Drosophila melanogaster: one gene and its partner. The protein of the gene in region 1 interacts with the protein of each later gene in a pairwise test. Each region holds a gene or a part of one and is shown in the gene's direction. Other genes may lie near its edges.

Region 1 (2,838 bases):
ATGGCCTCTGCGTTTAACTGTTGCTCATGGTAGCGCTTTTGTGCAATCTGAGACTGCTCTTCCTGAAGTCGGGCGGCTTCTGCTTCGGCTGCTTCCTTCTCGGCTACCTCCTCTAGGTACTTGCTACTGGCTTCCACCATCTTGGCCGCTCGCTTGGCCACTAGAGCGCTAATCTCGTTGCTGCTCACCTCAGGCAGCTTTTGCTCGGAATTCAGGGAGAAAAAGTCTCCAGTGCCATCTTCGTCATCATCTTCACTATCGCTGGCATTTACCAGCGAAGTGGGTTTACTTATAGGTTTGGATTTTGTTGACTTCAAAGCGTCTTTTGTCTCAGGATTCTTCTTGTGCCCGGCCTTAGGGCCATCTACGCCTTCGGTGTTGTGTGCAGCTCGTCGCTGCTTAACTGTATCGGGAACAAAAGCTGGTGCTGCTCGAGGCTGCGCAGGATTATTGCTTAGACTGGAAGCAAGAGTAGTGCTGGCTGATGGGTAGGCTACCGCGGATGAAGAGTTCTTGGAGAAGTTGCGCTCCGACTTTGCTTGGGGCAGCAGACTCAACAATCCCGATCCCTTGGGTACATTGGGCTTATCAACTTTGTTCTTAGCCCTGTCAGCTTTCTCCTGGTCTACATCTGAGAAATCTCTTAGTGAAGGAATGCTGATTTTTACTTTTCCCTTGACTGGCGGCGGTGGAGGTTTCTCTATTTCTACGGGCAGCGCCTTTTTGTGCAGAAACTCATCGTCTTTCTCCTCTACAATGGCTTTTCCTTTCGCTGCTGTTCGTGGCATGGGCAGGTTGGCAAAGGCGGAAGTAACCTGGTTGTCCACATCCTCATTTTCCAGATCCTTAGCGGGAGCAGTGACTTTTGGTTTGGGTAAGGCTAATAGCAGTCTTCCGTTGGGCGGCTTTAACTCCTGAAGGGACACTTCCTGGGGAACGTAGTCGTCATCTTCATCACTAATGTGACCACTGGTTGATTCCCGAGCTAGATACGCTTCACTTGGTGTGCTCGGCTTGGCTTGGGGTTTTATTACTTCCACTTGTGGTACAGAATTTTCCTCTTCGTTCTCCGAATCTTCATCAGAACTGGCAGCATAAGCAACAAGCGACATGTTTATAAAATTGCTAAAGTTAAACAATACAATACACAACAGCTGTTTAATGTGCCCGGACTCTAGAGTTGTCACCTGCTTGGGCTGCCATGGTTGGCAACTCCCTTTGCTTAAGCGCTGTGCTAACCAACACTGTTAAAATTACCGCTAAAACGTAATTTCGAATTTAAACTTAAAATTATATAGTGCGTTCAATTCGTTCGTTTTATTTATGATAGCATTATACCTGCAATCCTCAAAGTATAATATTCGGAGCTGTAAAAACCCTACGGATTATAAAACAAACCTCAAATAGGATACTTATAAGTGCTATACCTGATCCTTATTGTGTCCAGATGGTTTCCATCCTTGATTACCAGGCGACAATTAGGGGATTCGTTAGGTAGCCCAATCGCTCCCGATTACCTGTTCTACAACTTTTTTTTTTTGTTTAAATAAGGCGGTCAATTTTAACATTGATCAGTACAACTATATCTTTCGGAGAATACAGTTATAACATTAGACATGCATCATCACCAGAATCTCGGAGACGCGGCCGCCATGAATGGAATGATCCCGCCATACGAAGCCATGGCTATGTACGAGCAGCCCAAGCCCAGATTCATCTTCAAGATGCCCCGCGTGGTGCCTGACCAGAGGTCCAAGTTCGATAGCGACGAGCTCTTCCGCCGATTGAGTAGGGAGAGCGAGGTTCGCTACACAGGATACCGGGAACGTGCAATGGAGGAGCGCAGGATGCGGTTTGTCAACGACTGCCGCAAGGGCTATGCGGAGATATCGATGGTAGCTTCAGGAACTAATCTGCAGCTCTACTTCAACGCCAACCACAATCCGTACGCCCAGGAGCAGGATTGCGATTTCGAGCGGGAGCGGGGCAAAGTTCATTTGCGTTCTAGTTTCATCATGAACGGGGTGTGCGTCCGCTTCCGGGGCTGGGTGGATCTGGACCGACTGGATGGCGCTGCCTGCCTGGAGTTCGATGAACAACGAGCCCAGCAGGAGGATGCTCAGCTGCAGGAGCAGATTCAAAGCTACAACCAGCGCATGGCTGAGTCCAGGAGAATCTACCACACGCCCCAGACTCCACCCGAGGATCACCATCACAGAGGTGGGCCTGGTCTGCCTAGAGGACCAATGGGATGGTAGTGCTATATATTACCCTCATAGCTTTAAGTAACATCTAAGTAAATCAACAATAAATATCTGAAACCCATTGATCGTGCTCTTATAATACTGAGATTATGTTTAATACACTAATGGTAATATCTGCTCTCAATTACTAAAACTCTCATTTCACAAGGAGTTTCCGAGTTTTGTGTGTCATTCATTTGGCGAAAGCCACTCATGTTCACCTAATGATTGTTTATCTGGGCCTCCTTAAGGGTTGCTAGCCGGGGTCTTTGGCCTCATTTGCGCCACTTTCGGAACAACCACCACCCGAGCCGACTGCCCGAGGATGGTGAAGTGGGTCCAGCTGCCGTTCCGCCATTCCGCCGTGCTCTCCACTCTCCGGGGTGGGCCTGTCGCGGCTGTGGCTGCGGCTGTCCTCTCTTGACTCTCGATGCGGCCAGAGCACCGGTCCCGTGAGCACGTATTGATTTTCCGCCATTCCGTTTGGGATGCTGCCGAAATAAACTTTGCAACTGCTCTGAATGTGAATCTGAATCCGAATCCGAGTCAGTCTCTTTCCGAACTGAAAGCGGAAAGGCGTCGAGTGAAAATGGAA
Region 2 (7,568 bases), on another chromosome or scaffold:
TGCATATTTTCCCCCACCAATTTTCGCCTCTTCCATTTTCCCTTGGCTAATTGTCGCGGGCCCAAAAGAAAGTCCATTCAAAATGGTTACGGATCGTTCCTGCCAAAAATCCATTGTTCTTAAGTAAATAGAGAGGGGCCAAGTCAACGAAAACTGAGGAAATATATATGTATGTGCACACAAGGAGCACAAATGATCGCTGAAAAATCCATGACATGTGTCCCAAGCAATCCAAGGATCCTGGGATTCGGCCAAGATGGAGTAGCGCACACGGGCCAAAGAACAGCTGGCAGTCGGAAAAGTGTGTGGAAAACGGTGGAAAGCCAGCCAATGCATGGCCACCTAACCAAAACACAATTTTGTGGGAGTGTCGCAAAGGCAAAGAATAAAAAAAAAAAGAAAACCAAAAAAAAAAAAAAAAGGAAAAGGTAAAAAGAAAAACAGAAGGAAACCCGAAACACACTCATTCCCCGTTTTTCACCACACGAAAGAAAATAAAAAACACCCCCAGAACGCAGAAAAAAAATCACTCAAACAAGCGTTTTCCAATGGAAAGTGGTGAACCGGCTGTGGTGTAATTTTTTCCGAGGGTTGAATGACGTCGCCAGCGGGGGAGGGGGATGGGGAGGAGCGGTCGGAAGCCGCTGCCGACGTCGCTGCCGACGTCGCTGCCGGCAGCACTGCCAGCGCCACAACCAAAACAACAAACCACAATTCACTTACACAACGCCGCAGCCGCAGTCGCAGTCGGTCCGCTGCCGCCGCGCTGCCCGCTTTTCCGCTTTTCCACTGCTGCCTTTTGTAAATAAAGAAGAATGCGCAAATTGGCGGCACAAATTGTTAAATACACTTTTCAGTATATTTTCAAATATATTCATAACGAAATAATAAGTTTGTTTTCCCTAAAAAAAAAAAACAAAACATTTATGCACGTTTTATAATACTTTACAAATATTTGTTGAATAAATTGATTATTGTATTTATTATAAACGCTTTTGAGCTATTAAAAGATATTTAATTTTTTACTACAAAATATGTTTCATGCTTAAATTAAATAATTTAAATTGAATTTCAGTTTCACTTTATACAGATGCTTAGTTAAAACAGTTTTTCGTCGTTATAATCGTTTCAAAAACGCATCAATATTGTTATTGTTCACTTGTCATTTGAAATAGTTAAACTAACCAAACACCGAAGGGTACAAAAATGTTCCTCGATTGGCAGTCGCTTTTGTTTTTTATTCTCCTGTGGCAGTGAGCATTTCCCCTGCGCCACTGGAATTTCCACGGTGCCAGAGTTTTCCGCTCTCTGTCGGTAATTTTTGTTGGGGGTTCTGGGGTTCTCCGTGGTCAATGGCTCCTGGCTCCTGGGATCCCTGTGCATTCAGTATAGCCTGGATAACGGTTGTGCGAGGAGCTCCATGAGGAGAGGCGGAGCCACGATCGGCGCAGCCGTCTCGTTCTCTCCCATAACGATCGCCCTACTAATAAATCATCCCCTCTTGGATGTCAGCTATTTCCGTAGCATCTGCTCGCCAACGGTTGGCCGATCTCTGCGGTTACCCCAGCCCCTCGAGCGTAGGTGCCTCTCTTTCGTTCGCCTGGTGCCGTCTCTTTCTGCGAGGGGGAGGGATCTTGCGCACGTATATGAATAATTCAACTGATCGCCGTGGTGATTGGGGGATGAACGGAGTACTGGTTTGTCCGTTCCTCGGAGGTGCGGAATGCACAGATCGTAGTTCTGATACCCATTCATTTCGAGGAAATTTATTCAGGAACGTCACGGTATTTGCATAAGTGAAATCGTATCTCACAGTTAGCAGCCTGTATCGTAGATTGATTACTAAAATACTTTTCTAAATAATCTGCACTAAGATATAGTTCAGATTGCGTAAGATCGGTAAGTACAGAAGCTTTTAATCGCACTGGAAGTTTTATTTACCGCTCACGACATTTGCATAGATGAAACCGTATCTTACAGATTCAAGTAGCTTGCGTACTAAACTACTGTACAAAAAATATCTGCACTAAGAAATAGTCGGGAGTGATTTTTTATGGTGAAGTACAGAAGTAAATTCAGCTAATTAAGCCTCGCTCTTTTTTGTTTTAAATTAACTGCTCAACAGCAGTGAGAAAAACATTGCATATATTGAGTACATGAATACAGGTTACTGTCGCCTTAATCTCCCATCGGTTAATCCCGCTAAAAAGCGAAGTCCTTTGAGTTTTTGGTGGCCAGGTAGGCACTTTCCGTATCAGATGCTCGTTGCTTATTTTTTGGGAACATATTTTATGGCCCGTGGCGGCGGCTAATCGGCCAAAATATTTGCGGGGCGTGCTGCTTAATCCGGGCGATTGACTTTCATAAGCAAAGGATTAAGATTGCGCGGTTGGACTACCTGTTTTGAGGTGCGATATCAGTACATGCGATGGTACATCTGAGGGCCAGGTACGTCAAAGCCAGTAAACCCATAGTTTTCCCACTTTTTTGGGGCCGCAAAAAAGCATCGGAGGGCCCATAAAAAAAGGGTTGATCCTTTTGGCTGCTGTGGGCTCGTAGCGAGTTCGGTATGGAGATCAGGTACTGCCTGGTGCTCGGTGATCCCTATGAGGCGGTCCTGCGGGTCCTGCGATGCGCGTGCTGCGGCAGCTCCTGTCGCAAATTGCCAAGGAATCGCAGCAGGATCCAAGAAGCGACGACAGGAGCGCTGATTTCCCGGGAAACCGGCAATCGTCAATCGGCCATCGGCAATCGCGTCCTTGTCGCACGCCCGCTAAACCTGCGCTGTCCTGCCATATATCCCGGGGCTATATGGTGTGAAATCGGTGTAGGGACACGAGGTCCTTCGCAGCGAGCGGCCGCGCACGTACAAAAGGCAGCGCTGCCGATACACTGGATTTACTGGAAGTGTGCGTCTATAATGTCCAGCTGAGAGCGGCGCGTTCTCGCGACATTTTGGTTGGTCTTGCCTCGTAGTTCCCCTACCAGAATGGCCATGCTCCCCATTCCTTCTCCTCCTCCTCCACGCGGTGCCTGGAAGAGTCCGCCACCTCGGAAAACTCGCGGGTCCTGTGTGGCCTCGTTTTTAAGGTTGTTTTGGTGGGCCGCAATTTTTTGGCCAGTCAGGCACTTGATTTGCGTTCCACTGCACGAAATGAGTGTTGAAGGAATTGAGAATATTACTTTAAATTGTCAAGTCAAGTGTCAAGTGTTATTCAGCAGCTCTTAAGAATTAATACACAGTTAATCCATTTTACATTAAGTTAATTAAATCGTTCATATTTCGTTTTTGAAGCTAAGTTTCGTAATCTGAATTACTATCTATGTATGTGCTAATCACTTAGCCAATCGCTAAGCAAAATGTACAAATCTTAAAACCTAAGTAAACGTAGATTAGTTTGAAGAGAGTTCAATGTAGGCAGCCAAAGATACTCGATGTTCTTCCAAGTATGACACTTCCGCATCAGATTAAATCCGATCAGCTAGCTAAACCTGATCCAATCAAGGATCGGCGATCGCAGGCAGCGAAAATGGAAATGAAATCGAGCCGGATTGCGCCACACGAACTGAGAGGCGCACAAATATTTACAGGACTAATCGCAGGATAATCGCCCGATCAGCATTAGGATTAAGTTCGATCCCCGGAGAGATCGATGGCACTGCATCTTAGATAGTACTGGAAGTGGACCGGACCTGACAATGGGTGTTAGTTGGACAGATTCAGATCGGAGATTGCAGATCAGTTGATCGAGTTCCGAGTTCCGAGATCGGCGATAAAGTAAATTTTGGGCGGAATCGAGAAAAACATTGAGCAACACTGAGGGATCAGTGTGCCGTAATATGATCAGCCGGGGATTTCTGATTATTTTGAATGAAACACTAATTTTTGGGACATTTTCGAACAATGGGACGCACTGTTATGCACGTGTATATGTTTATTAATTAGATCTGATCTTAAATTACTTAACTTAACTTATTTGAAATGAAATTATATGGATAACGTTGATGCATATTCAAAAAAAAAAAAATTAACACTGGAAATGATTAGTTTTTTGAACAGATTATTAAAACGATTTGTAGCACTAATAATGATGTATTTAAAATATCGTGCTTATGTTGATATATATATTATATATATATATATATATATATTATTATATTTATTATATTTTTTTCGGCATCTTCATCTTAATCGATAAGATACCTTCGAAAGCAATTAAATATATGATAATAAATACAAATATAAAGGAAAATATAATTCATCTTATGATAGTATGGGATAGTGTGTACTATATGTACTATAGATTATTATCATAATTGAAAATCCCATGTTCCAAAATTTTCCAAACTCCACAATCGTATCACCCATGAAATTAAAAGGCTTAAATCCTTTTATCCCAAAGTCATAGTGATATAGCTCTCCTGATGCTTGTGATAATATTTATGATAATTTCGCAACCTGATCCCTCCTCGCACTGACTAATTGAGTCCTCATGTCCTGTCGGCAGGACGCCCCTGGCATCCTAGCTACTCGGGAAAGGGAAGGCAAGGGAACGAGAAGGAGATGGTGAAGGGAACCCCCCGTTTGGCCATGGGTGCCTACCTGTACCACCCGCCCCCGCCCCCCTCGACGAACCCCTCCGCAGGAGGGCCGCCAAAACACGCGCGCCGCTGGAAGTGGAAAATGGGAAACTGTTGCACGGCCGTTTTTCTTTTGGCGTGCGTGGCGAAAAAATAAAATTCAAAGCGAAGAAAAGGAAAACGCACACAATTTCCAGACCGCCCGTGGGGAAAAGCGAGAGAGGAAGCGAGAGCCAGAGCGAGAGAGTGGAAAAGTCTCGGTGTATTTCTTTTTTGAGTTTTTCTTTGGTGCAATTTCCAGGCCATCACTCTCTCTCTCTCTTTCTCGCTCTCGCCCATGCGATTTTCCTTTTTTCCGCTGTTATTTTTTCCTTTTTGGCCACAAGTAACAAGCGACTTCTCTCTCACGTACACAGGCACACTAACACGACAGCCAAACACACACACACACACAAACACACAGAGAGACCGCAATGGAAAAATGGGAAATTTTTTGCTGTGGTTGTTGTTGCGGCGGCAATGGTGGTTGCTCGATATACCGATATATACCTGCCCCGGCACCCTTAAAGGCGCGCCTGTGTGCGTAGGTAGCCAACCACACCACCATACCGCCCAGGATAATGGGCGGGAAAGAGACGGCGCTAGCGCCGTGCAAGTGGGACGGGGCACAAACGCCGGCAGAGCCGTCGACAGAGGCGGCGAGCAGCGCATTCCACTTTAAATACTGCCAACGATCGCAGCAGAGAATCAGTTCACTCAGCGACTTTAGCGTGTCGAGAACGCACAGAGAAATATATCGTTTTCGACTTTGGAAAACAGAAACAGGCTCGAAAGAAGCAGAGTTCGAAATCGCGAAACAATCCAATAACAACAAACAAACGAATTTTTTCCAAGTGACCCCCGATAAAGTGAAGTGCATACCGAGAATCCGCAATAGAAAACCGGCAATTGTCGACAGCCCCAGGATTACGGCTACGATTTCCACATTCGGATACGAGATGCATCTGCCAGCGGGTCCAACGATGGTGGCCAACAACACACAGGTCCTGGCCGCTGCCGCCGCCGCAGCAGCCGCCGCAGCGGCCGCGGTAGCCCAGGGTCCTGGGCCGCAGCAGAGTAGCAATGCCACCACCGCCTCCGCAATCGCCATCAATCCCGCCCAGAGTCTGGCCAACACGAGCACCCACTCGGCCAGCAGCACGGGCAGCTCCACACCAGATCTCAGCACGAACAACACCAGCTCGAGCAGCAACGCCACCACCAGTCCGCAGAACTCCGCCAAGATGCCCAGCTCGATGACCGACATGTTCGCCAGCCTGCACGAGATGCTGCAGGAGTATCACGGCGAGCTGGCCCAGACCGGATCGCCCTCGATCCTCTGCAGCGCCCTGCCCAATCACTGGCGGTCGAACAAGTCGCTGCCCGGAGCCTTCAAGGTGATCGCCCTGGACGACGTGCCCGATGGCACCCTGGTGTCCATCAAGTGCGGCAACGACGAAAACTACTGCGGCGAGCTGAGGAACTGCACCACGACCATGAAGAACCAGGTGGCCAAGTTCAACGATCTGCGCTTCGTGGGACGATCGGGACGCGGCAAGTCCTTCACGCTGACCATCACCATTGCCACCTATCCGGTGCAGATCGCCAGCTACAGCAAAGCCATCAAGGTGACCGTCGACGGGCCACGGGAGCCAAGAAGTAAGCAAAGTGAGTTTTTTAGTTTCCATTATGTTTTCAGTTTAATCCACTCCCAAAGATCCCCAAAAAACCAATTCAGAAACCGTTTGCATATCTTCAATTACAATATTCATAGTTTTGAAAACATTTGCCAACACTAACTAGTTATGATCTTAAATAACTAATGCCATTTTTAAGCTCAACTTTAAATGATCAGTCTGTTTTGAAATGATTGCATTGATCACTTTATCTTAAAGATTTTATCATTATTTTTGCTTATCCTTTTGCAATTCGGTTTTGATACACATATCCAAGGATCTTGAGATCCATTGCCGCCAACCAAATCCCCCACCATCCCCCCAACCTTTTTAAAAACGCATTCCGATGAAATACGAGTTGTGCTTTACTGACTTCCCGCCCTTTTTCTTTATCCTTCCAGGCTATGGCTATCCCCATCCCGGCGCGTTTAACCCGTTCATGCTGAATCCCGCTTGGCTGGATGCGGCGTACATGACCTACGGCTATGCGGACTACTTCCGCCACCAGGCAGCCGCCCAGGCGGCCCAGGTGCATCATCCGGCACTGGCCAAGTCCTCGGCTTCCTCGGTGTCGCCAAATCCCAATCCATCGGTGGCCACCAGCTCCTCGTCGGCGGTTCAGCCATCTGAGTATCCCCATCCGGCGGCAGCAGTGGCAGCGGCGGCGGGACAACCGGCGGCCATGATGCCATCGCCACCGGGAGCGGCGCCTGCCACGCCCTATGCCATTCCGCAGTTCCCATTCAACCATGTGGCCGCCGCAGCCGCCGCCAAGGCAGCCACGCCACACGCCTTCCATCCGTATAACTTTGCCGCGGCAGCTGGCTTGCGGGCCCGCAATGCTGCCCTGCACCACCAGAGCGAGCCGGTCCACGTCAGCCCCGCCTCCTCCAGGCCCTCCAGCTCCTCGCCCACCCAGCAACACGTCCTGCTGAAGCTAAACACCTCCATCGAGACGAGCTCCATCCACGAGCAGTCCGCCAGTGACGGCGACTCCGACGACGAGCAGATCGACGTGGTCAAATCGGAGTTCGACCTGGACAAGAGCCTGGATGTGGCGCCACTTCGCATGCGCTGCGACCTGAAGGCGCCCTCGGCCATGAAGCCGCTCTACCACGAGAGCGGTCCTGGAGCGGTAGCCAACAGCCGCCAGCCGTCGCCGGAAACGACCACCAAGATCAAGAGCGCCGCCGTGCAGCAGAAGACCGTGTGGCGGCCCTACTAGGGCATCTGATCCCCAAAAATCTGGAGGAATGAAGAAAACAAAGTGAT

Evidence for each region.
Region 2: the proteins of Bro (region 1) and run interact in binary tests that used the Drosophila melanogaster proteins (3 or more experiments, as listed by UniProt).

Annotation. Positions count from the first base shown.
Region 1 is NT_037436.4:1,646,289-1,649,126, forward strand, and holds Bro (brother), read left to right. Parts: upstream 1-1,580; 5' UTR 1,581-1,616; coding exon 1,617-2,258; 3' UTR 2,259-2,324; downstream 2,325-2,838. Other genes in the region: CG17249 (uncharacterized protein), read right to left, coding at 1-1,112. UniProt on the Drosophila melanogaster protein: Regulates the DNA-binding properties of Runt.
Region 2 is NC_004354.4:20,689,114-20,696,681, forward strand, and holds the start of run (runt), read left to right. Parts: upstream 1-1,556; 5' UTR 1,557-1,899; intron 1,900-4,997; 5' UTR 4,998-5,579; coding exon 5,580-6,288; intron 6,289-6,697; coding exon 6,698-7,521; 3' UTR 7,522-7,568. UniProt on the Drosophila melanogaster protein: Plays a pivotal role in regulating the expression of other pair-rule genes such as eve, ftz, and h.